4 linked regions of the Anolis sagrei genome follow. The protein of the gene in region 4 interacts with the protein of the main gene of each other region in a pairwise test. Links are inferred from orthologs where the notes say so. Each region holds a gene or a part of one and is shown on either strand. Other genes may lie near its edges.

Region 1 (7,291 bases), on a different chromosome or scaffold from region 4:
CCAGTATTAAAAAAACTCAAAAATTACAACAGCAAAACAACAGAGGGGAAACAAACAGGCACATCTTAACACCTGTCAACAAAAGATTCCCCCCAGGCACTTCCAAGCCATTGAATGCTAATCAAGGTGATCAGCTGAAACATTCACACCTAGCCCCAGCAGACAAAAGTCCTTTGTCTCACCCTGGTCATTCCACGGATATATAAACCCATTTTTCCTACTTCCAACAGACCTCACTACCTCTGAGGATGCTTGCCATAGATGCAGGCGAAACGTCAGGAGAAAGATTGCCTCCAGAACATGGCCATATAGTCCAGAAAAACCTACAACAACCCAGTGATTCCGGCCATGAAAGCCTTCGACAATACTAGGTGTGAATGTTGCTTGAGCGGTGATGGCACGATCATCAGCATAGATGAAACTCTGTCCCTTCTGGCAGTGGATGGTCATTTGTGTAGCTGTTGAACAAGAATTTTGACATTATGAAGGTTTTGGAACTGTGCGTTGACAGGCTGCAGGGAAGCAGGTCCTGGCCTAAGCAGCTGCTTCTCCAAGGAGGGAGAAAAGGATGTGATAATATTTGGATTCATGAGGATGGATGCATGTACATGTGGTGTGAATGTTGAGTAAAAATTTAATTCTTCTTTGCTTGTTAGCCAATATAACTGTAGGTTGTTTGTGAATTCAATGTAGTTGCGTAGAATCTGTATGTCCAATGTCATTCTTTGTGTAAAAGTATAAAAGTTCTGTAAAAGTTCTGATATATCCTCTCTCATACTGGAAATTACAATAAAAAGCTTTAAAGTTATTGAAAAGTTATTCATGACACACATACACACATCCTACAATACACACAGATTTGTGTGCTATACTTGATGCTACTCAAACCCATTATTTACATTTTCAGGGCTTACATTTTCAACTAGAATGCAAAACAGCACACATCTTGTATCAATATATCAATAAATAGATGTATTTAGTATTCTAGCCTTCAAGTTAATATTGTCATGGAATCTAGATGGATGAAGATGATCTTTTTTGATCAGAAGTGACTTGAAGGCAACCATTCTCCAACAGTAATTAAGTGGGATGGAGCCAGAGGAATGAGTTATCTTTAGGGTGAAAATATTTTTGATTAATTGATTGATTGATTGACCTATCTCCCAATATGTGGAGTCCGGACCACTAAAAAGAGGCAGTGGTCTCTCCTTTGCTGAAGAAACCAGATTTAGATCCCTCAGTTCCCTCCAGTTACCGCCCAGTTTCAAATCTCTCATTCCTGGGCAAGGTGATTGAGAGGGCAGCAGCGGAGCAGTTGCAGCAATTCCTAGGCGACACAGCCGGACTAGATCCCTTCCAATCCGGCTTCCGTGTGGGGCATGGGACAGAGACTATGCTGGTCTCCATCACGGATCACCTTCGATGCCAGCTTGACCAGGGCGGGTCAGCGCTGCTTGTGCTATTGGATCTCACAGCAGCATTTGACACAGTCGACCACAATCTCTTGACCCACCGCCTTGCTGTTGCTGGAATCAGGGGGACAGCTTTAAACTGGCTGTCCTCCTTTCTTCACAACCATGGACAGCGAGTGGAGAGGGGAGGCCTGGTCTCTGAGAGGTCCCCTCTATCTTGTGGGGTTCCTCAGGGGGGCATTCTCTCCCCTCTGTTGTTTAACATCTATATGCGACCACTTGCTCAGCTGGTTCGAGGTTTTGGGCTTGAGTGTTATCAGTATGCCGATGACACTCAGCTGGTGCTGAAGATGGAAGGCCGACCGAACTCTGTACCTGATTATTTCCATCAGTGCCTCGAGGCCGTTACTGGATGGCTGCGTGCCAGCAGGTTGAGGGTGAATCCAGCAAAGACGGAGATCCTATGGCTGGGTGGACCAGGCAGGGGGGACATCCATCTGCCCACCCTGGATGGCGAGGCGTTACGCCCGTCATCATTGGTAAAGAGTCTGGGAGTCCTTTTGGACCCTCTGCTGACAATGGAGGCCCAGGTATCCGCCGTGAGCAGAACTGCCTTCTTTCACCTGTGGCAGGCTAGGCGGCTGGCCCCCTACCTGTCCAGGGACGACCTAGCTACGGTGATCCAGGCCACAGTCATCTCAAGACTGGACTACTGTAATGCCCTCTACATTGGCCTCCCTCTGTCGGTGATTCGGAAGCTCAAGTTGGTACAAAACGCAGCTGCTCGGCTTCTTGCGGGAATTCCGATGAGATGCCACATAACACCAATCTTACTACAGCTGCATTGGTTACCAATTGAGCACTGGATCACTTTCAAAGTGATGGTACTCACCTTTAAGGCCTTGCATGGTCTGGGGCCAATGTATCTGAAGGATCGTCTCACCCCCTACCAACCCCAGAGATCCCTCCGTTCTGAGGACCAAGATCTATTGGAAGTCCCCAGTGTCAAGACCTTGCGTTTAAGGGCAACCAGACGCAGAGCCTTCACAGCAGTGGCACCATCACTCTGGAATGCTCTGCCACCCGAAGTTCGTGCCCTGCGGGACTTACCAGCTTTCCGCAGGGCATGTAAGACATACCTGTTCCGACAGGCTTTTAATGTTTGATACTGTTGTTTTTAAATTGTTTTAAATTGCTTTTAAACTTTGTTAGATTTTAGCTATTCTTGTAAGCCGCTCCGAGCCCCAGGGGAGTGGCGACATATAAGTTTAAATAATAAATAAATAAATAAATAAATAAAGGTTAAAGTAACGAAACTACAGCCTCTGCTTTCTTATGGATCCATCTTCTCCATTGCCAACCATTCAGGTATACTTTTTGCATGTTCAAAATACTCAAAAACAAACAAGATTAAAAGCATTGCACTCACTCCTTTTGGGAGCTGCTGCTGGTACTACTGTTATCCTCTTGGAGGGCCTCAGAAGATGGAATGGGGTGGCAGCTCACTTGGAGAAGTGGTGATGAGGACCTGGGTTGGAGTTCCTCCGGGAGACCTTGGACTCTTTTCCAGATCTCATGGCAAGCTTTATCCAAACTGTCCTGAGGCGTATTGTGATGGATCCAAATGTGTCTTGGGAAAGGGCCTAATGGAAAACTGCCCTTGGGGTTGGTTGTTGAACACTGAAGGCTGCTCCTACTTGACAGCATCGTATCTTGCCCACTAATGGCTAGAATGAAAATTGAATAAACAAACAGGAAGGGTGTCCACACACCTTCCTGAGATACTTATGTTGCTTGCCTTATTTTCTTTCTTTTTTTAAAAAAAGATGGTACAGAATGGAGCATATGGAAACAAACTCTGGTAGCTAAGTAACCATAGAACCCTTGCGACATGGTAACTTAACTGACATAAAGAATAAAAACTGTAATAGATCATCAAACTTCAACAGCAGTAGACGGAAGGGGAGACTTTGCTTGCTCTGAAGGACACTGAGGGAGAAAGATCTTGCTCTCCTTCCTCCAACTGGCATATCTGGAACACATCACCTGGAAAGATATTTTTTTTGTCATGTCAGGAGCGACTTGAGAAACTGCAAGTCACTTCTGGTGTGAAAGAATTGGCTGTCTGCAAGGACGTTGCCTAGGTGATGCCTGGAATTTTTTTAATGTTTTTTACCATCCTTGTGGGAGGCTTCTCTCATGTCCCCACATGAGGAGCTGGAGTTGACAGAGGGAGCTCATCCGCACTCTCCCCGGATTCGAACCTGCGGCCTGTTGGTCTTCAGTCCTGCCAGCACAGGGGTTTAACCCACTGTACCACCTAGGGCTCCTATACATGGAAAGGTGTTGCCATCAGAAGCATTTCTTTCTTTCTTTCTTTCTTTCTTTCTTTCTTTCTTTCTTTCTTTCTTGGCTCTTGTGTATATAAAAATACAGAGTTTTTAAGTCAAGAATATCCTATGCTCCAAAATCTATGATCAAAACCTGAAACCAAAGGACCGTCTCTGGTCTGGTTAGAAGAAGAGAAAGTTGGGTGGTGCCTCCAACATAGGGAGTTGGGTGTGCTTCACTTGGACAAGAGAAAATGGAGAGATGATAGGAAAGCAATCTTTAAGTATCCAATGGGATGTCATGTAGAAGATGGAGTGAGCTTGTTTTTCTGCCTCTTTGGTGCCTAGAACATGAACCAATACATTGAAAATAAAAGAAAGGAAGTTGAGAAACATTGAGAATGTCTTGATTGGAAGAGCTGTCTGATAGTGGAGATCCTAGGACACGGGGTGTTTCTGGCCTCACAACTCTGTATGTTTATACACACAAGAGTTAGCAAAAAGGAAAAGAATGTTTCTGATGGCAATGTGATGTGTTCCAGATGTATCAGCTTGAGAAAAGGAGGACAAGGTCTTTGTTGTTCAGCATTCTTGACAGTGGTAGACTCTCCATCTTTGGAGGTCTTAATACAGAGGTGGAATGGGCATCTTTGAGGAATGCTATAGTTGTCCATTTCTACCTCACAAAGGGTTGAACTACATCAACGTTTCTCAACCTGGGGGTTTGGGAACCAGGGAGGGGGATCGTGGGGGTGGGGGGTGAGAGGGGTCACTAAAGATCATCAGAAAACAAAGTATTTTCTGTTAGTCATGGAGATTCTGTGTGGGAAATTTGGCCCAGTTCTATCATTGGTGGGGTTCAGAATGTTCTTGGATTGAAGGTGAACTATAAATCTGAGCTACTAGGCCAGCTGCGCCCGTACCTTGGGAAATCTGACTTGGCCACGGTAGTCCATGCTCTGGTTACATCCCGTTTAGACTACTGCAACGCTCTCTACGTGGGATTGCCATTGAAGACGGCCCGGAAGCTTCAATTGGTCCAACGTGCGGCAGCCATGATACTAACAGGAGCAGGACGCAGGGAGCATACAACCCCCTTGTTGTACCAGCTCCACTGGCTGCCGATTTGCTACCGGGCTCAATTCAAGGTGCTGGCGTTGGCCTATAAAGCCCTAAATGGTTCCGGCCCAGGATACCTATCCGACCGCATCTTGACCTACGAGCCCACCAGGACTTTGAGATCTTCCGGGGAGGCCCTGCTCTCGATCCCGCCTGCTTCACAGGCACGGCTGGCGGGGACGAGAGATAGGGCCTTCTCGGTGGTGGCTCCTCGACTGTGGAACACCCTTCCCGTGGACATCAGACTGGCTCCTTCCCTGATGATATTCCGCAGGAAATTAAAGACTTGGTTGTTCAAAAAGGCATTCGAACAAGAAGTGCAATGATTGGTAATGACTATAGGATTGGAACAATGGAAATGATACTGGATTGTGGTTTGGACGATGAGACGACGCGGAATGGCTTTCGTAGTAATGATGATGTTTTTGATGATGATGTTCTTGTTTAATGCTGGATGTGGATTTTATATTATGTCTTGAATTTGAACTTTGTTCTTCTATGTTGTACACCGCTGTGAGTCGCCCCCGGGCTGAGAACAGCGGTATATAAGCAAAGTAAATGAATAAATAAATAAATAATACTACAAGTCCCAAATGTCAAAGTCTAGTTACACAAAATCCACCAGTGTTCAATTTGGGCATATTGAGTATCTGTGCAAATTTTGGTCCAGATCCAACATTGTTTGAGTCCACAGTGCTCTCTGGATGTAGTTCAGAATGCTCTTTGAGTGTAGGTGAACTATAAATCCCAGCAACTACAACTCCCAAATGTTGAGATCTATTTTCCCCAAACTCAACCAGTGTTAACATCTGGGCATATTGAGTATCCATGCCAAATTTGGTCCAGATCTATCATTTTCAAATCCATGGTGCATTCTGGATATAGGTGAACTACATCTCCCAAACTCAAGGTCACTGTCCGCCAAACCCTTCCAGTATTTTCTGCTGGTCATGGGAGTTCAGAGAGCCAAGGTTAGTTCAATTCCATTGTTGGTGGAGTTCAAATGCTCTTTGATTGTAGGTGAACTATAAATCCCAGCAATTACAACTCCCAAATGACAAAATCAATCCACTCCAATCCTACCAGTATTCAGATTTGGGTGTATTGGATATTTATTCCAAATTTGGTCCAGTGAATGAACATCTCATATCAGATATTTACAGTGCGATTCATAACAGTAGCAAAATTATAGTTATGAAGTCGCAACCAGAGGCGGCCCTAGGTAATTTTCAACAGTAAGCAAACAGTATTTTGGTGCTCTCCCCCCAGCCAATCATTGATATATATTTTCTGTTCGTCATGGGAGTTCTGTGTGCCATATTTGGTTCAATTCCATCATTGGTGGAGTTTAGAATGCTCTTTGGTTTTAGGTGAACTATCGAAAACATGCAAATGTGAGTAGATCAATAGATACCGCTCTGGCGGGAAGGTAACGGCGCTCCATGCAGTCATGCCTGCCACATGACCTTGGAGGTGTCTACGGACAACGCTGGCTCTTTGGCTTAGAAATGGAGATGAGCACCACACCCCAGAGTCAGACATGACTGGACTTAATGTCAGGGGACTACCTTTATCTTTACCTTTTTATACATCCCAGTAAGTAAAACTTCCTTATGTCAAGGTCTATTTTCTCCCAAGAGCGCCTCAAGAGCGCCCCCGGGCAAAATCAACTATACTGCGAATGCTTACTTTGCGTAATGGCTGAGCCGTCCCTGGTCGCAACGAAAATAATGTTATGGTTGGGCATCACCACAACATGAGGAACTGTATTAAGGGGTCACGGCATTAGGAAGGTTGAGAACCACTGAATAACATGGTCCTTGTGACCCCCTCCAGCTCAGAGATCCCATTTTATTGGAAACCTTCTCTTTTTCCTTTTTTTTATTTGCAGATGTAACAAGAGGTTTCTTTGCGTATCTTTCTCTGTGTGGCAATTTTTAAAAGCAGAGCATAACTGGAAAACAGTCTGCAAATAGAGAGGGAGGAGAAAAAAAGTTGTCTCTTTTTGCCCCTTGGTTTTCTTTCATTCTACTGTTGCCTCAGGTTAAATAGGTTGTGTGAGTGCTTAAATAATACAAAACCTCCTGAGGGGATCACGATGTTTAGTTAATCTGCGGCAGCAGAAATACGAAAATACGAGAGTAAACCCCAAGATCGAATAACCCTCTCAAGGCAGCAGCTTTTGTGGATGAAACGGCAAAGAGGGGAGGTGCTTGTTTGTTTGTTTGTTTGTATCGCTTTCTTTGGTGTCTTTTTTTTTTTGCCTGAGGATTGAATTAGCTCCAGGGGTCACAAGCCAGCATGAAGAGAAGGCACAGCTTGAAATGAGTTCAAACATACAATTTCTGATGTTAACATTTAGTTGCTTGCTGGGTCTCCAGTCACACAGTGATGCTTGATTCATGTGCAGCTCCCATTCACCTTCCTCTA
Region 2 (7,710 bases), on a different chromosome or scaffold from region 4:
GGAAAAAGTATTTGAGGGAAATGGAGGAAGGAAGGAAAGAGCCACAAAGAAATTGCAAACCCGGGCAACACTGGGGATATATGATAGTGCCAAATAGCATGGATAAATAAAACTTCCAATAACAGTGGATAATATGATGAGCTCCAATGGCATGTATAAATAACACACCCTAGCCAAAACAGAGAAACCCAGCAACAAATGAGAATCTATCCAGATGGTATAATAATCAGCATAGTTTATAAAGGTCAGAGATAAGGTGATTTTTTTTTCACCCTTCTTTTAGCGAAAGTGTGTAATAACACTTCTTGGAATAATTCCTTTCAAGCACTGGGGAAAACAGATTTGGAGGGAATATTAATTGGACAAGAAAGTCAATTTTCTCAGTTCAAAAGCTCCAGATTTTAGGTTATGTTCTTCATTTTAAATGTAATATAAAAATATTAGAATACAATAATAATAATATAATATCATTATCATAATGTAATGCAAACATATCAATAGAATAATACATATAATTATAATATAAAATGAAATGTAATATAAAAATACAATTATAATATAATAATAAATATAATAATAAAAGGTAAAGGTAAAGGTTTTCCCCTGACATTAAGTCTAGTCATGTCCAACTTTGGCGGGTGGTGCTATCTCCATTTCTAAGCCAAAGAACCGGCATTGTCTGTAAACACCTCCACGGTCATGTGGCCAGCATGACTGCATGAAGTGCCATTACTTTCCCACCAACTTATTGATCTACTCACACTTGAATGTTTTCAAATTGCTAAGTTGGCAGGAACTGGGCTAACAGCGGGAACTCATCCCGCTCCCCGGATTCAAACCGCCAACCTTTCAGTCAGCACATTCAGAAGCTCAGCAGTTTAACCTGCTGCACCACCAGGGAGTCCAATATTATAATACTAGCTGTCCCCTGCCACACGTTGCTGTGGCCCAGTCTGTGTAGATGTGCTTTGTGTGTGTTTAAGTGTGTATATGTATGTGTGTATATTTGTGTATATACGTGTGTTTGCGTGTATATATATATATATATATATATATATATATATATATGGTTTTTCACATGCGTTGTAATGTATTTTTTATTTTTTGGCTTTTTAAGTCTCTTCTGCTGTGTTTTTCAGTGCTTTTATGAGTGATGGTCACTTGTTGGCCTGATACGTGTATTGTGCCCAAATTTGGTGTCAGTTCGTCCAGTGGTTTTTGAGTTATGTTAATCCCACAAATGAACATTACATTTTTATTTATATAGATATAATATAATTATATATTAAATATAATTATATAATATTATATAATTATAATTATATAATTATAATTACTATAGTTAATTGTATTGCATAATTATATTATATTATATATAATTCTATATTCTATAATTATAATTCTACTATAATATTATCTATATAAATAAAAATGTAATGTTCGTTTGTGATACCATCAGAACTCAAAAACCACTGGGGGAATTGACACCAAATTTGGACACAAGACACCTAACAACCCAATGTATGTCCTCCACTAAAAAAAAAAAGATTTTGTCATTTGGGAATTGTCGTTGCTAGGATTTATAGTTTACCTACAATCAAAGAGCATTCTGAACTCCACCAATGATGGAATTGGGCCAAACTTAGCACACAGTTCTCCCATGACCAACAGAAAAAACTGGAAGGGTTTGGTGGACATTGATCTTGAGTTTGGGAATTGTAGTTCACCCACATCCAGAGAGCACTGTGGACTCAAACAATGATGGATCTGGACCAAACTTGGCACAAATATTCCATATGCCCAAATATGAACACAGATGGAGTTTAAGGGAAATTGAACTTGACATTTGGGAGTTGTAGTTGCTAGGATTTATAGTTCACCTACAATCAAAGAGCATTCTGAACTCCACCAATGATGGAATTGAACCAAACATGGCATACAGGACTTCCATGACCAACAGAACACACTGGAAGGGTTTCGTGGGCATTGACCTTGAGTTTGGGAGTTGTAGTTCACCTACATCCAGAGAGCACTGTGGACTCAAACAATGATGGATCTGGACCAAACTTGACACAAAAATTCCATATGCCCAAATATGAACACAGATGGAGTTTGGAGGAAATAGAACTTGACATTTGGGATTTGTAGTTACTAGGATTTATAGTTCACTACAATTAAAGAGAATTCTGAAACCCACAAACGACAGAAATGGGACAAACTTCCCACATAGAACCCCCATGACCAACAGAAAATACTTAAGGTCATCCAGTCCAACTCTCTTCAACAGGGCAAGAAAATGTAATCAGAGCCCTCCTGACGAAGAGCCATCCAGTCATAAATATAGATAGATAGATATGATTCTCACACACACACACAGATATAGTATCATAGATTTGAAAGAGACCCTTAAAGAAGGACTATGATATGTTGCATATTCCAGAGTAGGCAAAACAGACACTCTCCACATCAACACTGACAAAGAAACAACAAAAAATACTGTTCACTCACAAGCCTAAAGAAATTACATATATTAGAAACCAACACTTTATAATTACTTTATTTTCCAGATCACCAGACTGGGCCACAGCAATGCATGGCAGGGGACAGCTAGTAATATAATAATAATGTAATACAATTATTATATAGAATACGCTGCGCAGTGTGCAGAGGAATTTGTTGGATTTTGTTTTGTTTTGTTTTCCAAATCATAGTACGGTCCCCCAACAGCCTTGAAGGACAGCAAACCAGTCCTCAGTTTAAAGTGTTTGAGAACGTCTGATTTAAGATCTGCCCTCTGCAAACCCACAGGTTGGCCTTTCATAGACACGGCAATTGGTTTCTCAAACGTGCAAGAAATGCATTCAGGGACGTACGTACTCTGCTTGAAACCCAGGTGAGGCACCCTCTCAATGGGCGTGTGCCGGTCCTTCATAAACCTGTAGAGGTTGACCAGGAACGTCTGCTCCTCTTCCTTCTCGCTGGAAGGCAGCATCTCGTCTCCCGATTCCTCGGCCAGACTCTTCTGCTCAGCTTCGGCTGCCTGTTCCGGCTTGGAAGTGGGAGATTCCTGCAGGAAAAACAACCCAATGCAATCACCAATTACATTCTGGAAATTAAACAGTTGCAATGCAAGTACAAGTATTATTACATTATTGTTGAAGGCTTTCATGGCTGGAATCATCTGACATGGTGGTTGTTAGTGTGGTCCAGCATTTCTGTGTTCTCAAATAATATGCTGTGTCCAGGCTGGTTCATCAGGTGCTCTGCTATGGCTGACTTCTTTGGTCAGACTACACAGAGAAGCCTTTGAAATCCACAAGCATGTGGACAATTTCAACAGAAAGGAAGAGACCATGAAAATGAACAAAATCTGGCTACCAGTATTAAAAATACTCTAAAATTACAACAGCAAAACAGCAGAGAGGAAACAACCAGGCACATCTTAACACCTCTCATCAAAAGATTTTCCCAAGCTCAGCCAGGCCTTCAAATGCTAATGAAGGTGGTCAGTTGAAACATTCACACCTAGCTCCAGCAGAGAAGAGCTCTTTGCCCCACCCCAGCCATTCCACAGATATATAAACCCATTTTCCTAGTTCCAACAGACCTCACTACCTCTGAGGATGCTTGCCATAGATGCAGGCGAAACGTCAGGAGAAATGCCTCTAGAACATGGCCCTATAGCCCGAAAAAACCCACAAGAACTTATTATTACATTATGTTACTCTCTTTATTCTTATTGGAAGGATACATAAGCACATTTACATTGAAGAAGGTTAGAATCAGAGTGGGACACTCTTATCTTAAATTACAGTGTTATGTAAATATTCAAAAACATTTAACATTCTGATGCCTCAATTAATGTAATTTTATTGGTATCTGTTTTTATTTTGAAACTGACCAATAGCTGCTGTATTTCCCACCCTAGGCTTATACTCGAGTCAATACATTGTCCCAGTTTTTGTGGTAAATTTATGTGCCTCGGTTTATATTCGGGTCGGCTTATACTCGAATATATATGGTATATAGGTATTGAGCAGATCAATAGGTATCGCTTCTGCGGGAAGGTAACGGTGACCATGCAGTCATGCTGTTGTAGTTCAGCGTGATGGTAACGTTGCTACTACTGGTAGGAGGGAGAAGCGGGCTGCGCAGGTGTTGGAAGAGGAGCAGCAGCGAAAGCAGATTAGAGAGATAATCATGGCCCCGAGTGATTCTGAAACCTTTGAGGGCTTCTCCGACTGTAAAATGGGGGATCGGGAGGAAAGCAGGGGAGTCAAGCGGGTTACTCACGATCCAGAGTCTGATGAGGAAACTCAAAGGAAGCGCATCCGTGATATACTTAACGCTCCTACAGAGGACAAGGACTTCATGGGCTTTGAAGGGAGGGATGGGTCTGGGAGTGACATGGGGGAGGAGGATGGGCTCGATTGGATCCGTGTACAGGAGATTAGGGATATCTGTACCCAACCCACCTCCAGCGATGACTTTGAGGGGTTTACAGAGGAACGCCAACCGGGGAGCACTTGGCAAGATCTAAGTCTTGACAGACGCTGGCAGAGGTGGAGGGATGGGCATTCGGGTTCAGCTGCAGAGAATGGGGCAGCTGAGAGCGATGATGAAAGAGTGGGGAGCACCTCATCTTCTGATGAGGAACTTTAGGATAAAAGTGGGTATTGTTTGCATGGATTTTTGCAGAAGGCAAAGTCTCTTTTGGGGTGTGAATCTTTGTTACTGCCAATTCTCGAGCTTGGGTCCTTGGACTACAGATTCCTGTGTTCCTGTGTTTACTTCTTGTGATTTCGTGAACAACGACTTCTACTCTACTGCTTTGACTCCGGACCATTTTGGACAACGCGTTTTTGCCTCTTGGACTTTGTCAACTTGCTTGCATCGTGCTACGACTTCGGACCGTTTTTGGACTGTGTTTTTGCCTGTTCCTATTGTGCCTTTGTACCTCCTGTGAACTGTGTGAGTTTAAAGCGGATTGCTGAATACCTTAGTTAAACTGGATTATACGCCAAGATAATCCGGGTTATATTTCAGTTGCTTTTTTCACGTTGTTTTTGATATCAACACTTTATTTGAACCTAAGGCACTGAAGTAAGTGCTTCAAAGACTATTTTGTGAACAATAACACTGTGTTTGGACTCTGCATTTTGTGTTTGGCTTCTTTAAGGCTTCTGGGTCTTGACACATGCTGGCCACATGACCTTGGAGGTGTCTATGGACAATGCCGGCTCTTTGTCTTAGAAATGGAGATGAGCACCAACCCATAGAGTCAGGCATGACTAGACTTAATGTCAGGGGCGGCTCAACCCATTACACAAAGTAAGCGTTTGCAGTATAGTTGATTTTGCCCAGGGGCGCTCTTGAGGCGCTCTTGGGGGAAAATAAACTTTGACATATGTGAGTTGTAGTTACTGGGATGTATAGTTCACCTACAATCAAAGAGCATTCTGAACTCCACCAATGATGGAATTGAACCAAATATGGCACACAGAACTCCCAAGACGAACAGAAAATATATATCAGTGATTGGTTGGCGGGGGGGGGGGGGGGGGGAAGCAAAATACTGTTTGCTTACCATTGAAAATTACTCTGCTTAATGTCAAGGGGAAAGCTTTACCTTTTATTTAAAGAATTTGATTGTTTTGGCCGGTTGCTTAATAGTTCCGGTTAACAAAGAGTCGATTAAATCAATGTAAACAAGGGGGAGCCTGGTAGTTGCGGTAAGGAAATTAAGTAGTGTTGTGTAACTGGAAATTACGAAAGATGTGAATGGTATTATGAATGTGAAAAAACAATAAACAAATATTTGTATAATTAATGAATAGCATCCATTTCTGGTTTCTGTCCTGTAGAGGCAAAAGGGGCTTCAAAGCCTCGTGTTTCCAAAACGAGTGTTTTAGAAAAATCTGCTTCTTCTGGGACTTCAATCATTAGCTCTTGGAGAAACAGAAAACAGATGGAAACTTGTTTTGGTTGGGAACAGCTGCAGAAGCCCGAGGCCCGGAGCTCGTGACCCACAAAACCAGAGTCAATTTGCAGAGTATTTGCAAGAGAAATATATAGATGGAATGAATCCCGACGACAAGCGGGCCTTTCCCCCAAGAGAGCGGCAGAAGTTCAACCAAGCCTCCTGCCAACCTGTGAAGCACATCTGGATGCTTTCTTCCTCTCTTGGAGAAAAACAGTGGGGCAAAACATCTGCTTAGCGAGTTGAAAGTTGAGGATCAAATGGCCATCTTCTGCAGCTCAAACAAGGTTCTGAATAGCTGGTGCACATCTGGATGGAAAAGGGCTTGGCATGTTAAAGCTCGCGTGTTCAATGCCCATCCTATCTAGCAAAAAAAGGGAGAGACTGTCGTGGACTCCACTTTGTGGCCGCATTTCTTAAGGTTGGCTTTGCATCTCGTGGTGCCAAAGTGCAGTGTGTTCAGCACCTTCCAAGTAACCCAGTTTTTTGTGTGCCCAGAGGGGACTCTCTCATTCAATATCAGCCATGGATTGAGGTTCCGGATTTTCGCCTGCCACTTTTGGACTCTTGCTTGCTGAGGTGTTCCTGCAAGTATCTCTGTAGATCTTGGAAAACTATTTCTTGATTTAAGGCATTGGCATGTTGGTTGATATCTGAACAAGGGATAGGCTGGAGATGTCGCTGCCTTGGTCCTTTCATTATTGGCTGCTATTTTCTGACAGATGTCAGGTGGTACAATACCGGCTAAACAGTATAATTTCTGCAGTGGTGTAGGGCATAGGAATCCTGTGATAATGCAACATGTCTCATTAAGAGCCACAGCCACTGTTTTAATGTGGTGAGATATGTTCCACACCAGGCATGCGCATTCAGGAGCAAAGCAGCAAAGTGCAAGGGCAGATGTCTTCACTGTGTCTGGTTGTGATCCCCAGGTTGTGCCAGTCAGCTTTTGTACAATATAGTTTCTAGCACCAACGTTTTCCTCGATATTCAAGCACTGCTTATTGTAAGTCAGAGTATGCTCCAGGATAACTCCCAGGTATTTGGGTGCGCTGCAATGCTCCAATGGGATTCCTTCCCAGATCATCCTTAGAGCTCGAAATGCTTGCCTGTTCTTAAGATGAAATGCACACATCTCTGTTTTAGATGGATTAGGAATTAGCTGGTTTTCCCTGTAATAGGCAGTAACAGCACCTAAAGCTTCGAAGAGCTTCTGTTCAACCATCTCAAAGCTCCCTGCTTAGGCGGTGATGGCACGATCATCAGCATAGATTAAACTCTCTGTCCCTTCTGGCAGTGGCTGGTCATTTGTGTAAATGTTAAACATTGATGGAGCAAGCACGCTCCCCTGTGGCAGGCCATTCTTCTGTTTCCGCTATCTGCTTCTGGATGGCCATCTGTTAGGGGTGATTTGAATGCAATATTCCTGCTTCTTGGCAGGGGGTTGGACTGGATGGCCCATGAGGTCTCTTCCAACTCTTTGATTCTATGATTCTATGATTCTCTGGCCCTGGAATTCAACAAAAAAGCTCCTGTTTTGTAGCAGGTTTCCCATGAAGCAGGTGAAGACAGTTCCTGTTATCTGCTTACTTGAAGACCCCAATTAAATCCTTGAGCACAGCACAGACATGGCTCCTCTGTAGAGCCCGTTTCGTCCCCCAAAAATTGCAACTGTTTCACCCGGTTCAGCGCCGTTGTGTGGTTGGAGGCCATTCATGATCTCTGATAAC
Region 3 (7,627 bases), about 61 Mb from region 4:
GCTGCAGGAATCTAACTCTAAGTGAAAAGTAAAAGCTGGGCTTCCTCCATGTCCCACTCTGTTGTGTTACACCCTTCTTGTGACTCTCAGAGAAACACAAGTAGCTGCTTTATACTGAATTAGACTAGAGGACCATTTAGGCCTGTAATACTGACTGGCTCTCCAGTATTTCAGGCAACAGCCTTTCCTACCCAACCTTTGATGGGAAGCCACCTTGAGAGCCTGATGGTTTCCCATCAAAGCCCCGACCCTGTGTAGCTTCTGAAATATGAAATTGTACTGTACAATATTAATTCTTTAGTGAAAGGGAAAGGAACTGTACTGTTTGGAGAAAGCTGTAGGAAATTTAAATTTTATAGCAATTAGAGCAGTGGTTCTCAACCTGTGTTTTGGCCTACAACTCCCAGAAATCCCAGCTAGTTCACCAGCTGTTAGAATTTCTGGGAGATGAAGGCCAAAACATTTGGGGATCCACAGGTTGAGAACCACTGAATTGGAAGAAGAGAGAAGCATAATAGGAGAGGTCAGATATGTGGTCAACGAAGTTCTGAAAGTACAAGATGATGACAGGCTTGTGTGAGAAAGAAGATGAGATTGTTGTAAGTTTGAAATATAGCAAATACTTGGAAAAGCACGACTAATCAGAGAGTAAATCAGGTGTAGCACACGCATTACCTGTCACAGTGTCCAGATGTTTCTTCAGAGGCCGGTGACCTCCTCCAATTATACACTAATTGTAATTCTCCTTAGAGACTCCAGTTCTTTATCTCCATCTCTTCTTACGGACAGAAGGAGGTTCATCTTCTTCTGCACACCCACCAAGATGGTAGTATTAGATATTCTGAAAAACAAAAGTACAAATGCATCTAGTTAGAAATATGATTGACTTTGTTATGTGCCTTCAAATCACTTCCTCCTTATGTAAGGTGAACCTATTGTAGGGTTATCTTGGCAAAATTTGTTCAGGGAGGCTTGTCATTGGTCTTCCTCTTAGAATGAAATAGTATGATTTCTGCAGGATTAAACAGTGGGTTTCTGAGTAGGGATTCTAACTCTGGACTTCCAGATTCCGGACTCAATGTTCAAATCATTATGCTATATTGGCTCTTCATTGTAGACTTTGTTGTGTGTCTTCAAGTCATTTCCGACTTGTGGCAACCATAAGGTGACCCTACCATGGAGTTTTGTTCAGACCAAGAACCTACCTCTGAGACCTTGTGACTTGTCCAAGGCCACCCAGTTTGTTTCCACAGTTGACCAGAGATTCAAACCCTGGTTTCCAGAATTGTAATTCAATCCTCAAACCACAACACCACACTGGACCAACCTCTGGTCAAAGACAACTCTGAAGATCAGAGGTAGAGGATCATTTCTCCAACAAAGGGCAGTTTCCTTTATATCAAAACATTATAGGGGAGGGGGAATGGACAGTCTGCAGTGGGCAGGGCAGAGTTGCACCATTTCTGGATTGCACATCCCTCCCTTTTTCTCTCTCTACATTGGCCATGGACTCCCCATTCCACTTGGAGGTCTATATACAATTTTGCAACCACAGCGCAGCTACCCAAATAGAATATCTTGGCACAGTTAAAGATTACGAAGTCCCTTGAATCCAAACTTTTTTATGGTTTCAATGAACTTTTGAATATGTAGCAGAGAGCTGTATTTGGAAAAGGAAAGCTTGGTTTCAAATCTTGGCTTAATTTTGGCATTCATAAATTGTCTCCTTCCGATTCACCTAACCCTACAACAGGCATGAGCAAACTTTGACCCTCCAGGTGTTTTGGACTCCAACTCCCTACCAGCTGTTAGGAATTGTGGGAGTTGAAGTCCAAAACACCTGAAGGGTCAAAGTTTGGCCATGGCTGCCCTACAAGGTTGCGATCGGCACAAATACAGGGTTGCTGTCAGTTTTCAAGGCTGTATGGTCATGTTCCATAAGCATTCTCTCCTGACATTTCGTCTGCATCTATGGCAGGCATCTTCAGAGGTTGTGAGGTCTGCACAAATACAGTTGCCTCATGGATCTCTCACTTATTGACACAAATGTGACAGATTTAATCCAGGTCACTTGGCTTACCTTCAGCCACAAAAAAGGCACACAAATCCCATTCCCCTGTGAGCCACTCCCTCTCATGTATTTTGCTGGGTGCATACAAAAACAAAAATAGGAGGAAAGGGATTCCTTATTCCCAAGGAGTAACAAGATATTTTTCGCAACAGTGTAATTATACTATGAACACCAGGGAAAATAATTTTGCACTAAGTTTCTTTGTAGAGCGGGTTGATGGTAAAGACTCTTATCATCTTGGCCCTCTTTCCATCACAAGGGCCTAAATTTTGGCTAAATTGTCACATCTACTCCCTCTGAATCATTGTAAGGAATGCAAACAATAGAAATGGAAAAGCATTGATCAGAAAGCACAAAAATAATGCCTAAAATTGCCCCTCCCCATCACACCCAGCATGTCCTCTGGATTTGGAGCAAGTGCTTCAATGTGTCTTTTCAAGCAAGTCTCCTCCTTTTGTTGTTCTCCCTCTGCTTCCCCCAAAACAGCAACAACCCAAAACTGGGGAGACAGAACTGGGGTGTCAGAAACCCTTTATCTCTCAGTTTAGTTCCAAAATTATCTTTTAAAAAAATATTTTGGGATGCAGCCATGTGACACCCATCTCTCTTAAAAAGGAGGAGCTCTAAAAATGAAGAGGTTGGAAAGAAGAATCAAAATGCTAGTGGATTTTCCCCCAGTTTATTTCCCCCCTCCTTGTTCCAAGCTTTGTGGGCATTTCAGGCATAGAGGGACTCCTACATCCCTGGTCCCATCCCTAATGCTAAAGATCCTTTAGCAAAAACATAAATATATATATTTGAAAATCCCCTACCTTTGCAATGCGTAAAGGCTGCCTGTTAGCTTTCTGCCTGTTCAGTACAAGTCCGCCATCTTGCATTAAAAAAAATACTGCACTTTTTTGGGGGAAAGGAGGAGGAGGAGGAGGAGTGATGCTTGGTGAACTTTGAACTGGCACTTTGTAGAAAAAGGGGGGAGGACCAACCCAGCTCTGCAATCCGCTTTCCCAAAGGCAGCTTGCACTGGAGAGGTTCCCATTCAAATGTTTTCTTCTTCTCCCTTGTTGTTGTTGTTGTGAAAAAAAGGGGGGAGTGGAGGAAAGCTCGCGAGTGTGTGCAAATGCACCAGTCCCACAAGAGAAACAAGCAGGAAGGAAACAAGGGGGAGAGAGAGAGAGGAGGCGCCAAAGCCCCAGCTTTCTGCAAAAGGGAGACTGACTCTGCCTCTCCAGGTCCCTGGTTAGCCAACAGAAAGCAAGGGGCTGATTGGATCCAGCTAGATTGAACCCTGGCCATTGGGAATGGGATCCCTTGCAATGCATACACAGGAAAGGAAGGGAGAAAGAGAAAGGAAGCAGGGAGGGGAGCAAGAGGGCGTTCCTCCTCTGAGGTTCCCCAGAAAGGAGGCTGGAGAGTAGGAGGCAGCAAAAGGAGGTCACTGCCTCCAGATCAGAATTCTGCCCTCTTCAAATGCAAGTTTGTTTCCATCTCCAAATGTTTAGCATTGCAGTGACTTAGGGGTTTTTTTTATTACATTGTACAATAAATGCAATAAATTGTACAAGAAACATTAACAAATATGCAGATGACACCACTCTGATGGCCGAAAGCGAGGAGGAGCTGAGGAGCCTTCTAATCAAGGTGAAAGAAGAAAGCGCAAAAGCTGGGCTGCAGCTAAACATCAAAAAAACCCAAAATAATGGCAACAAGAATGATTGACAACTGGGAAATAGAGGGAGAAAATGTGGAGGCCGTGACAGACTTTGTATTTCTAGGCGCAAAGATGACTGCAGATGCAGACTGTGGCCAGGAAATCAGAAGACACTTACTTCTTGGGAGGAGAGCAATCTCCAATCTCAATAAAATAGTAAAGAGTAGAGACATCAGACTGGCAACAAAGATCCGCCTAGTGAAAGCCATGGTATTCCCTGTAGTAACCTACGGATGTGAGAGCTGGACCTTAGGGAAGGCTGAGCGAAGGAAGATAGATGCTTTTGAACTGTGGTGTTGGAGGAAAGTGCTGAGAGTGCCTTGGACTGCAAGAAGATCCAACCAGTCCATCCTCCAGGAAATAAAGCCCGGCTGCTCATTGGAGGGAAGGATACTAGAGGCAAAGTTGAAGTACTCTGGCCACATCATGAGGAGACAGCAAAGCCTAGAGAAGACAATGGGGAAAGTGGAAGGCAAAAGGAAGAGGGGCCGACCAAGGGCAAAATGGATGGATGGCATCCTTGAAGTGACTGGACTGTCCTTGAAGGAGCTGGGGTGGTGACAGCCGACAGGGAGCTCTGGCGTGGGCTGGTCCATGAGGTCACGAAGAGTCGGAGACGACTGAACGCATGAACAACAACACAATAAATGCAATTTGATAACTCTTGAACTGCTATGGTATGGTGGGAGTTTAGTGAGGCACCAGCATTCTTTGGCACAGAAGGAGTATAGTGTCTAGGAATCTAGTGTCTAGATCCAGGGAAGCCATCCTACCCCTCTGTTCTGCCTTGGTTATACCACACCTGGAATACTGTGTCCAATTCTGGGCACCACAATTGAAGGGAGATGTTAACAAGCTGGAATGTGTCCAGCGGAGGGCGACTGAAATGATCAAGGGTCTGGAGAACAAGCCCTATGAGGAGCGGCTTAAAAAGCTGGGCACGAAGAAGACATATGACAAAGGTTCCTTGGCAGTCATTTTGCAAAGAAAGTACACACACTGATTTATGAGTCTAAAAAGTGTCCTAACTTAGAGCATGTTATGACTTTCTGCCTTGTACAGCCCTTAGTGGAATTGCAGGTACAATTGGACATCAGAAGTGGTATAGTAGGCGGCAGATCCCCTCTGATCCAGGAAACTACACAAGGTAAACTCTACCTTGTATGGAAACCACCACAGCATATTGGATGGAAACCACTCAAAGGTGCTATAGGACCTGGTAAAACCACCTCTTGAGTTTTTCCTGCCTAAGAAAACTCTGATATTTGTAAAATCATTACTGAATGTGATTTTCCTGCTTCTTGGCAGGGGGTTGGTCTTGATGGCCCACAAGGTCTCTTCCAACTCAATAAATCTATGATTAAATTGATAAGACCACTCAAAAGCATGTATACACACATTTTTGAATATTTTTATTCTGTTTTAGTGTAGAACAGGACATTAATTGTTAAGGCAAGAAAAACAATAAATGCTTATTTGGAAAAGCTAGAATCCTTCCTTTCCTTAGGTGATCCCTCGTTGTCAGAGTATGATGGTCTTCCAAGCGTAAGGTCTTGGCAGTGGCTACGTAGAAGACTGTGGAGCCCTATTCTTGACCTGCATGTTCTTCCAACGTGAGGACATTGGTTTCCAGGAGGAAGCCAGTCCCAGTTAGGGTTGGCTTGACATGTCCTCCTCTTGGTACATTTCTCCCTTGCGCTCTCCAAAACTAGAATCATCACGCAGCCCATTAACAGATTCAGTGCAGGGCCATAGGATCTGAATCAACAAAATGTTACAATCTGCATGTGGACATGAAGAAAGAGATACAGTGATGTACTGATTTCACGTGGGCAAGGAAAAAGCTCCAGGCATCAAAACACATGTCTTGTGATTATTTATATATAATATAAAGCATTTTGACGGAAGTTGTCGTCCCATCTTTTTCTCCAGTCCAGGACTCAAGACATCACAGGAAGTTTAAAATTAATAGTTTTAAAATTCATATCATACAAAAAGTAAAAATATAATTAACAAAACAGGCATAACCACCATCAAAGAAGCCCCCTTTAATACATTATTTTTATACTTCCAGCCTCTTTGTTCTCCGTCTAGCTGAAATTTTTATTTAGCAGCATCAGCACTGGAAAGGTAGTGAAATTTTTGAGAAGTTGAAGCAGTCTGTGTGCAGTATAGGTAAAGGTTTCCCCTTGATATTGTCTAGTTATGTCCGACTGGGGGTTGGTGCTCATCTCAATTTCTAAGCCAAAGAGCCGCCGTTGTCCATAAATGCCTCCAAGGTCATGCCCCCTGTTATTAATCATACAGATATAAAAATGGGACAAAAATATAGATCCTAAGAACAGTGAAAGAAAAAAAGCCATCCCTAGTATCTAGAGTACGATGTTTTATAATTCTTCCAAAGCTTTTAATATGGTTTCATTTCACACACATATAGTAATAGTTTTGACTTAAAAGTTTGCTGTAATATGATGCACTTTTCTTTCTTGAATTGTAGGGACATATCACCTTTTCCCATGCTATTTCTACCTCTGGCACCAAATTTTGGTAAACAAGTCATGCCCAGAAGCATCTCTACACATGTAATGTTAACCATAATCCCTTCTCTTCCTGGCTTTCTTTTTCACACATAGAACGAGCAAAGTTCAGCATTAACTCAATAGTAAAATGTTAAAATCAAGGTTTGGATTTTTGGAATTAAATATTTTCAAGCTATGGATGGTTGAATCTGTGAATGCCATGACTCTAAAGCAGTGGTTCCCAACCTTTTTTTGACCAGGGATCACTTTGAACAGTGACCACTCTCCGACATTAGTACCAAAAGGGTTACAAATCAGTTTTTGGTCAACTTTAGATTCGGTTTGGTTATTTGGGGTGCTGATTCAGAAATTTGCATTGGCTAGACCACATCAGCTCTAATTTCCGATACAGAACATATGCCATCCAGTAGTCGCCATCTGCTCATCCACAGAAACCCATATTTAATAATCTAGAGCTCATGTGGTCTACCTAATGCCATTTTATGAATCAGCACCCCAAAAAAGACCAGGAACAGGCCTAAAAATGAAGACACAGGTGCCACACGGATCGGCTCCTCGGGGAGGGAGAAGCAGCAGTCAGGAGGCTTGTTGTCATGCCTTTTGTGGGTAGTTAGGCTCTCATCTCCCAAAATACCTCTTGCCCCAGCATTATAAGTGTTTTGTGAGACCAGTTGCTCTTGTTGCAACAGTGTAGTAACAGTGAGGCTGTGGACCACATTTTAGTTCTCATAAACCACTGGTGGTCTACAGACCACAGCTTGGGAACCACTGCTTTAAAGAGTTTCCCTGCTTCCAACCATATTTTGCCCCATTGGTGTATTTAATGGTCTAAATAATTTTAAGTGTTCTCATTTTATTTGCCAGTTCTATTTTATACCGAATGCAGTCATACCTTTAGGAGTTTCCTTAGCTCTCCTGTCTAACCAAATGTGCATCTTAAACTATGTGGTATGAGGGGCTTTATCTCCCAATATGCAGTAGATCAACATCATATTTGTGCTCCTAAGTTATAAATTTTGTTGCAACCATGAACCATCGGCGATCTAATGCTTATGTAAAACTCTGTTCTTGAGGTATGAATGACACCCAGACATTCTAGAGATCTGGTGCTCTTCATTTTCTTTTTCACAGCTTCTTTTATTAAAGCCCCTCTTTGACTCCCCCTTAAAATATAAATATAATCATTGGCATTTTTAGCATTCTTACATATAGGATCCACTAGCATTTGCCATGCACTTTCAGCATGTTCCCTGATCATGCTGCTCTAAACAACAGCAATGAAAAGAATTGCTACTCAAACAATGTTAA
Region 4 (7,826 bases):
TTGGCGCGCGCCTCTGCCTTGGCCCACAGCGCCGCCGCCGCCTCTCCGGCCAGACACATTCGCTTCGGGACGGGCCCAAGACCAGGAGGAGGAGGAGCAGGCGGGCCTCCTTGCCTGGACTAAGCCTCCCCCTCTCCACATATATAAGCATAATGAGAGGCAGAGAGAAAGAGAAACCTGGGTCCTCGTCTCTCTCTCTCTCTCTCTCGCGAAAGGGCAAAGTGAAAGGAAAGCACCGCTACTACCAAGGCCTCTCTGGCCCCACCAGGCCACCCACAAAACAAGGAGGCACTACCCCTCCTGTACTTTAGGACCAACTTGGGCCTTCCCTCCAGGTGTTTTGGGCTTCAACTCCCACCATTCCTAACAGCCTCAGGCCCCTTCCTTTTCTCCCTCAGCCGCTTAAGCTGAGGGGGCCCGAGGTTGTGAGGAATGGTGGGAGTTGAAGCCCAAAACACCTGGAGAAAAGGCCCAAGTTAGCCCAGGCCTGTTTTAGGGAGACTATGAGGACATGGGTCACCTCTGCACTCCCAACTCCCAAGTAATAATAATAATAATAATACTTTATATACCGCTCTATCTAGTGGGACTCAGCCAAAGTAACAGAGTGACAAACATTCAATGCCAAAGTGTGGAGGATAATAATACTGCAATAATAATAAGGTTCCCTGACTGCCCCCCTCCTTCCTTTGCCTTCTTCCCTTCCTGACTCCCCTGTTTTGACTGGCTTCACTGTGGATAAGGATAAGAATAATAATGCCAAACTAGGTTCCCCCTTTTGCCCCTCTTCGGTTTTGACTGAGTTAAGTGTAAATGATGATGATTATGATAATAATGTTGATTCCTGCCTCGGTTTTGATTGGGTTTAAGTGTGGATTAATAATAATAATGTTGATTCCTGCCCCTGTTTTGATTGGGTTTTAAGTGTGGATTAATATAATAATAATAATGCTGATTCCTGCCCCTGTTTTGATTGGGTTTAAATGTGGATTAATAATAATAATATAGTATCAAGGCTTCCTTTTCCTTCTTCACCTCCCGCCTTCCCACTTTTGACTGGCTTAAATATGGATGATGATGATGAAGATAATGACAATGTTGATTCCTTCCCCAGATTTGACTGGGTTTAAGTGTGGATGAATAATAGTAATAATGCAGTAACATGGCTATCTCTGCCTTCTTGCCTTCCTGCCTCCCCACTTTTAACTGGGATAAGTGTTGTTGATGATGATGATGATGATGATGATGATGATAGTATTGCAGCAGTAACTACATAGTTCTCTAACCAAGGTTTACCTATTTGCTTCCTTCAGTTTTGTCTGGGTATAAGTGTGGATGATGATGGTGGTGGTGATAATAATAATAATGAGAAGGAAGCAACAGCCAGCATAGTGATCTTGTTTGCTGTGTACTAATCTTGTGCATATAATAATAGTACTGCAGCAGTAACAAGATTCCCTAACTGGGGTCCCCTTCCTTGCTTCCCTAACCTGTTTTGACTGGGTTTAAGTGTGGATGATGATGGTGGTGGTAATAATGATAATAAAAAGGGAAGGGGGTAACAGCCAGCATAGTGATCTTGTTTGCTGTGTACTGATCTTGTGTATCTAATAATAATAATAATAATAATAATGCAACACAGTAACAACAAGGTTATCTAATTGGGGTCCCTCTCTTTGCTTCCCTAACCTGTTTTAACTGGGTTTAAGTGTTGATCATGATGATGATGATGGTGATGGTGATGATGATAGTATTGCAGCACTCACAAGGATAAGGTTCTCTAACTGGGGTCTCCCTCTTTGCTTCCCTCCCCACTTTTGACTGGGATAAGTGTGAATGATGATAAGGATAATGCTGTAAGGACAATGTTCTCTAACTGGGGTCCCCCTCTTTGCTTCCCTAACCAGCTCTGACTGGGTTTAAGTTTGAATGATGATGATGATAATGATACTGATAATAATAATAATAATAATAATAATGCTGTAAGGACAATGTTCTCTAACTGGGGTCCCCCTCTTTGCTTCCCTAACCAGTTTTGACTGGGTTTAAGTGTGGATGATGATGATGATGATGATGCAGTAACAACAATGTTATCTAACTCCCTAACCAATTCTGACTGGGTTTAAGTGTGAATGATGGTCATGATAATAATGATAATAATAATAATAATGTAGTAACAACAATGTTCTCTAACTGGGGTTCCCCTCTTTGCTTCCCTAACCAGTTTTGACTGGGTTTAGGTGTTGATGATGATGCATAATAATAATAATAATAATAATAATAATAATAATACAGTAATGACAATGTTCTTTAAGTGGGGTCCCCCTCTTTGCTTCCCTAACCAGTTTTGACTGGGTTTAGGTGTTGATGATAATGCATAATAATAATAATAATGCAGTAACAAGGTTCTCTTTGCCTTCTTCCCCTCCTTCCTCCCCTTTTGACTGGGATAAGTGTGGATAATGATGTTATAATAATAATAAATCACAGCAGTACGACAGGGTTCCCTGGCTCCCCCCCCCCTTTTTTTTTTTTTTTACCATCTTCCCTCCCTCCTCTCCAGTTCAGGATGGGGCAGGAAAAGGGGGGCGATCCTAGAAAAAGAGGGACTTCCAGCTGTAGAGGTGACAGTCCATTGCCTTGCCTGACTCTCCTCTCTCCTTCCTCCTTTCCTTCCCTCCCTCCCTCCTTCTGAAGCAGCCGCCCGTGTGTTTTTCCAGCTGGAAGTCGCTGGAGGTTTTTCATTCGAGGAAGGAATTAAAGGGGGGGGGGGGAGAGAAAGAGAGAGAAGCGAAAGCAGAGGGGGGTTGTTTTACACTTACTGTGTAAAAGTGGGAAAGGAAAGGGGGGGAGGGGGAGTTAGAGGGAGAGAAGAAGGGGAAAGACTCACAGTGTCTCGCCAGCTGATCGCAAAGGGCTGGGGTTTGTTTTCTGAAAATGCTTTTTTTTTTGGAGGGAGGGAGGTATCATATATAATAATTATTCTAATTATTGCTCGTGCCCCCTCCCTGCGAGACGGCTGTTCTCCTTCGGCCCTTGGAGTAGGAGTGATGTCTGCGGTGCAGCTCTCTTCTTCTTCTCTCTCTCTCCTTCCCCAGGACTGTATGCAAATAGGGAAGAGAAGCCAAATATGGAGCAGTTGGCTGCCTCTGCATCGGCTTCAAGGCTTCGACTTCTCCGTGCAAAAGGGGAGGGAAGGAGGGAGGAGAAGGAGGCAACACTTTTGTCAGGCGGCCAAGAGAGCCACACAGATTATAGCAGACGCACAACAGAGCCTGGCGGAACCAGCCTTAACCCTTTCCAGGGGCTGCTCCCTCAGTCTCCAGGAAGGGAAATACTCTGGTGGTTGCTGTTGTTTACTACTACACCCTGGCTTTGGGACTCTCCTCTGCATAGCCACACTTCATTCAGAAATCATTATAGCACACACACCAGAGTTGGAGCAAGCAACTCTGGCCCTTTACAGGTTGACAAAGGGCCCTCTAAATGCATTATTCCAATGATTTCCAAGGGTGCATACATACTGCAAGGTTAAAGCAGTTGGTTAGTGACTGCTTTAACTGCCTATGACTCTGGAATCATAGTTGTGGTTTCATAAGATCTTTAGCGTTCTCTTGCCAAACTACACCTCCCAGGATGCCATTGCATTGAGCCGTGGCAGTTAGTGCTGCCAAACTGAAATAATTCTACAATTTATAGGCAGCTTCCAACAAAGGATTCTCTCCAGGCAGGAAGCAGCCACACCTTGAAGCTGAAAGGTTATTCAGTGCTAAGCAAGGTGCCCAATTGCAACATTCACACCTGCCTCAAACAAGAGTTCTTTCTCCCGCCCTGGACATTCCACAGATATATAAATTCCACTTGCCTAGTTTGCAACAGACCTCACAACCTCTGAGGATGCCTGCCATAGATTTGGGTGAAATCCCCTGCAAACACTCTGAGAAGCACTTTACCCGTTGGGTTGCTCTTTACTTTTGATTTAAAACCCTCCAAATAGATACATCCTCTGCTCATGTCCAGCATTTATTTTTAAAGTTTTAACTATTACATTTGGCCCAGCCATAGATTTTTAAATTCTTGTGTGTTATTGTCTATTTATGAGTTATATAAATTTTATTGTTGATTTTGTTTATTGCTTGTTGTTTTTGATGTGTTGTTGGGCTTGGCCTCATGTAAGCTGCTCCGAGTCCCTCGGGAAGATGGTGGCGGGGTATAAATAAAGTTTTATTATTTATTTATTATTAATGTCAGGAGAGAATGCTTCTTGAACATGGCCATACAGCCCAGAAAACTCACAGCAACCCAGTGATTCCGGCCATGAAAGTCTTCAACAACACAATTTATAGGCACCTCAAGTGTTCACAAAATAGAGCACCCATGCTGTAAACATGCTACGTGTGCTTTCAAATTGCTGGTCAGCATCTAGCAACCTTGTGGATTTCATAGCGTTTTCTTAGGCAAGGAACAGTCAGGAATAGTTTTGCCTCTGAAAATATAGCTTAATCAGCGCTTGGTGTTCACTGGTGGTCTCCCATCCAAGTACTATCCAAAGCCAACCCTGCTTAGCTTCCAAGATCAGACAAGATTCAGTGCATTTGGGATATTAAGGTGCTCACAGACATACTACAGCACCCAAAAGACAGCACACTTGCTACTCGAATAAGTGTGATATTGTGAATATACAATCTGTGTTTAGCATGATCCTATAAGAGGGCAGGGGCCACGGTGGCACAGTAGGTTAAACTGCTAAGTTGCAGAACTTGCTGACCGGAAGGTCAGTGATTCAGATCCATGGGACAGGGTGAGCTCCAGTTGTTAGACCCAGCTCTGCCAACCTAGTATTTCAAAAACATGCAAATGTGAGTAGATCAATAGATACTGCTTTGGCAGGAAGGTAACGGCACTCTGTGCAGTCATGCCGTCCCCATGACCTTGGAGACATATACAGACAACAGGCGGCTCTTCGGCATAGAAATGGAGATGAGCACCACCCCTCAGAGTCAGACTTGACTAGACTTTAATGTCAAAGGAAAACTTTTATGTTTACTATAAGAGGGCATTGCAGAGCCCCAGCAAAATATGTATGTTTAGTCCATGGGAGAAGATGATATTCTCCAGAACAGAAGTGCTTTCTAAGAAAAGATGTAAGCATAAATAACAAGCAAGTAACATATATTGTGTGGGGAAAGGTACTGGTGGTAAAGAACCGACTGCTGAATCATGTTGTGTTACAAAGCCATTGTGTTGAAAAGCCAGTTGCCCATTCAAGGCTGTACTGTTGTTGAAAGGAAGAAAACACAGCCTTGACAACAGAAGATGAGGAATAAAGATGAAGTTTCTTCAAACCAGTGCTGAGGAATCTTATTTAGTTACTGGTACTGCTCTGGTAACTATCACTGAAAGTAAGCCATTGCCAAGAGAGAAGCCTTATAGGAAGCAACTCCTTGTACTGAACTGAGAGAATAGCAGATCGGCATTTTATTTTCTGAAAATGTGTTCTCTCAATCTGACACATTCTATTAGACTCAGCTTTTTTATTTTTTATTATTTCTTGAAGGGGGAAATGCAAGCCTTTAAATTATTAAAAACAGGATAGATGTGATAAAAAGAAGAGTAGGAGAGGAGAAGGAATCTTGCAGTATCTTAACACTAATTGATATATTTTAGCATGAGTCTTTGTGGATTTCAGTCCATTTCCACATTGGCATATGTGCAGCATGGCATAATTAATAGCTATCAGGGAACATGTGCGGTAGAAACATCCTAGGGTACATAATATATTAAAATTTGCTTGTCAACTTCACAACTACAAGTTCTCATTCTCCCCAAGCAGTAGGATTTTGGCTCCCAAGTATGCAAACCTTTGCTCATTCAGAGACAAAACGAAAAGGCACCCATGTGATACCACCCAAGACCTCAGATATACAAGTTCATTTCCAGGACGATTGCAAGGCAATTGTTGCATCATAACAAACCAAGCAATAACCTCAAGAGATGGCAAGTTAACAGGACAGATCAGAAACCCAGAAGGAAATTGCAAAAGTAATGAGATCAGAAGAAAGGAAGATAAACCTTTGCAGTTCAAGCTTCTTCAGTAGGACTAAAGGAAAGTTTCACATCTGTGGAAGAACAGCATAGCAGACCTTATACAAGTAACTTCCAGATCAGACGTCTTCTACACTCTAGAGAAAACAGTAGCAGTGGAGAAGGAAGAGTTGAATAACCAAAGAAAAGCAATTACAAGTAAGCAACCTGTAATTCCACATATGGAAGAATAGCAAGCTAACTTATTTGTCATAGATATAAATATCTGTTTCTAGGAACTTTACTCCACGCATTGAATAAAGCAGACTTCGCCTATGAAAGCTTATGCTAACAACTTCTTTCTTTCATGACCTATAAAGCCCTAAACAGTTCAGGCCCCGCCTATCTACGCGATTGCATCTCCATCTATGAACTCTAAGATCTTCTGGAGAGGCCCTCCTTTCACTCCCACTAATGTCACAAGTACGATTGGTAGGGATGAGAGAGAAGGGTCTTCTCGGTGGTGTCCCCCCGCCTCTGGAATGCCCTTTCAAAGGAAATAAGACGGGCCCCATCCCTCCCCTCCTTTCGTAAGAGCTTGGAGACCTGGTGGTTTCAACAAGCCTTTGAGAATGAGCAGTTCTAGCTCAGCCCCAAACATTGTTGAATATGGCCTTATACTTCCTATCTATTACCCTGGTCATCCCTCTAAAATGCCCTGGAAATGAGCAGCCGCAGACTCGTACCTGCTGTTGTTGTTAGCCTGTTATAGCACTGTAATTAATTCTTGGTTCCCTCATATTTTGAGTTTGCACTAGCCTTGGCCCAACCTTTTAATAACTCTGAACAGGCAGGATTATTTTTTAATATATATGTGTTATTGTGATTATTTTATGCTTATGTTGTTTTGTTAATTTTATGTCATGCTGTTTACTCTGTATGTTTTTGTGATGTTACTTGGAAACCACCCTGAGTCCCCCTCAGCGAGATAGAGCGGTATATAAATAAAGTATGTATGTATATATGTATGTATGTATTTATTTATTTACCAGAGAACCACCAAACTCATTGCAATCAATAAAAGATACAACTTTGAGATCCTGAACTTCCAGAGGAATATTCTCTGACAACAATTAGGACTATAAGATGCCATTGTTAGAGATGGAAAGGCCCTTTAAGAAATCCATGTTTGAAACCATGATCTCCACTAGCACTATAGGGGTTCCTAAAAGAAACATAAGCAAGCCAGGTTAAAGTATACCTGAGTTAAAATTAAGATCCAATGGACAAAAATATGTACTAATTTAATGTCATCAAGAAGTGTATAACTAGAATAAGACCCCAGTCTCCCTGAGATACATTTCTTGCTGGACCAGTTACATTAAACTACAGATATGGCTGGATACCATTAAATTCCCTGACTTCTGGTCCTAGCATACCATTAAAAAGGTAAAGTTTTCCCCTTGACATTAAGTCTAGTCATGTCCAAATCTGGGGGGGGGGGGGTGTTCATCTCCATTTCTATGCTGGAGAGCCAGCGTTCTCTGTAGATGCCTTCTAGGTCATGTGGCCGGCATGACTGCATGGAGCACCGTTACCTTCCCACTGAAGCGGTACCTATTGATCTACTCACATTTGCATGTTTTTGAAATGCTAAGTTACGAGAAAATGGGGCTAACAACATGAGCTCACTCCATCCGCAGATTCGAACCATCAATCTTCTGATCAGCAAGTTCTGCTTAGTGGTTTAAGCAACTGTACTACTGCGGCCCCCCATACCATACTCCTCTAGAAATCTCTAG

The links.
Region 1: the proteins of ATXN1 (region 4) and CXH1orf94 interact in binary tests that used the Homo sapiens proteins (3 or more experiments, as listed by UniProt). The link is inferred for Anolis sagrei from reciprocal best matches to the Homo sapiens genes ATXN1 and C1orf94.
Region 2: the proteins of ATXN1 (region 4) and ARID5A interact in binary tests that used the Homo sapiens proteins (3 or more experiments, as listed by UniProt). The link is inferred for Anolis sagrei from reciprocal best matches to the Homo sapiens genes ATXN1 and ARID5A.
Region 3: the proteins of ATXN1 (region 4) and ZHX1 interact in binary tests that used the Homo sapiens proteins (3 or more experiments, as listed by UniProt). The link is inferred for Anolis sagrei from reciprocal best matches to the Homo sapiens genes ATXN1 and ZHX1.

The regions. Positions count from the first base shown.
Region 1 is NC_090034.1:68,094,238-68,101,528, reverse strand, and holds the start of CXH1orf94 (uncharacterized protein C1orf94 homolog), read right to left. Parts: upstream 3,120-7,291; coding exon 2,842-3,119; intron 1-2,841.
Region 2 is NC_090027.1:23,188,433-23,196,142, reverse strand, and holds the start of ARID5A (AT-rich interactive domain-containing protein 5A), read right to left. Parts: upstream 3,062-7,710; 5' UTR 2,993-3,061; coding exon 2,878-2,992; intron 1-2,877. UniProt on the Homo sapiens protein: DNA-binding protein that may regulate transcription and act as a repressor by binding to AT-rich stretches in the promoter region of target genes.
Region 3 is NC_090024.1:20,488,499-20,496,125, reverse strand, and holds the start of ZHX1 (zinc fingers and homeoboxes protein 1), read right to left. Parts: upstream 3,257-7,627; 5' UTR 2,884-3,256; intron 842-2,883; 5' UTR 676-841; intron 1-675. UniProt on the Homo sapiens protein: Acts as a transcriptional repressor. Increases DNMT3B-mediated repressive transcriptional activity when DNMT3B is tethered to DNA. May link molecule between DNMT3B and other co-repressor proteins.
Region 4 is NC_090024.1:81,545,187-81,553,012, forward strand, and holds the start of ATXN1 (ataxin-1), read right to left. Parts: upstream 3,197-7,826; 5' UTR 2,891-3,196; intron 1-2,890. UniProt on the Homo sapiens protein: Chromatin-binding factor that repress Notch signaling in the absence of Notch intracellular domain by acting as a CBF1 corepressor. Binds to the HEY promoter and might assist, along with NCOR2, RBPJ-mediated repression. Binds RNA in vitro.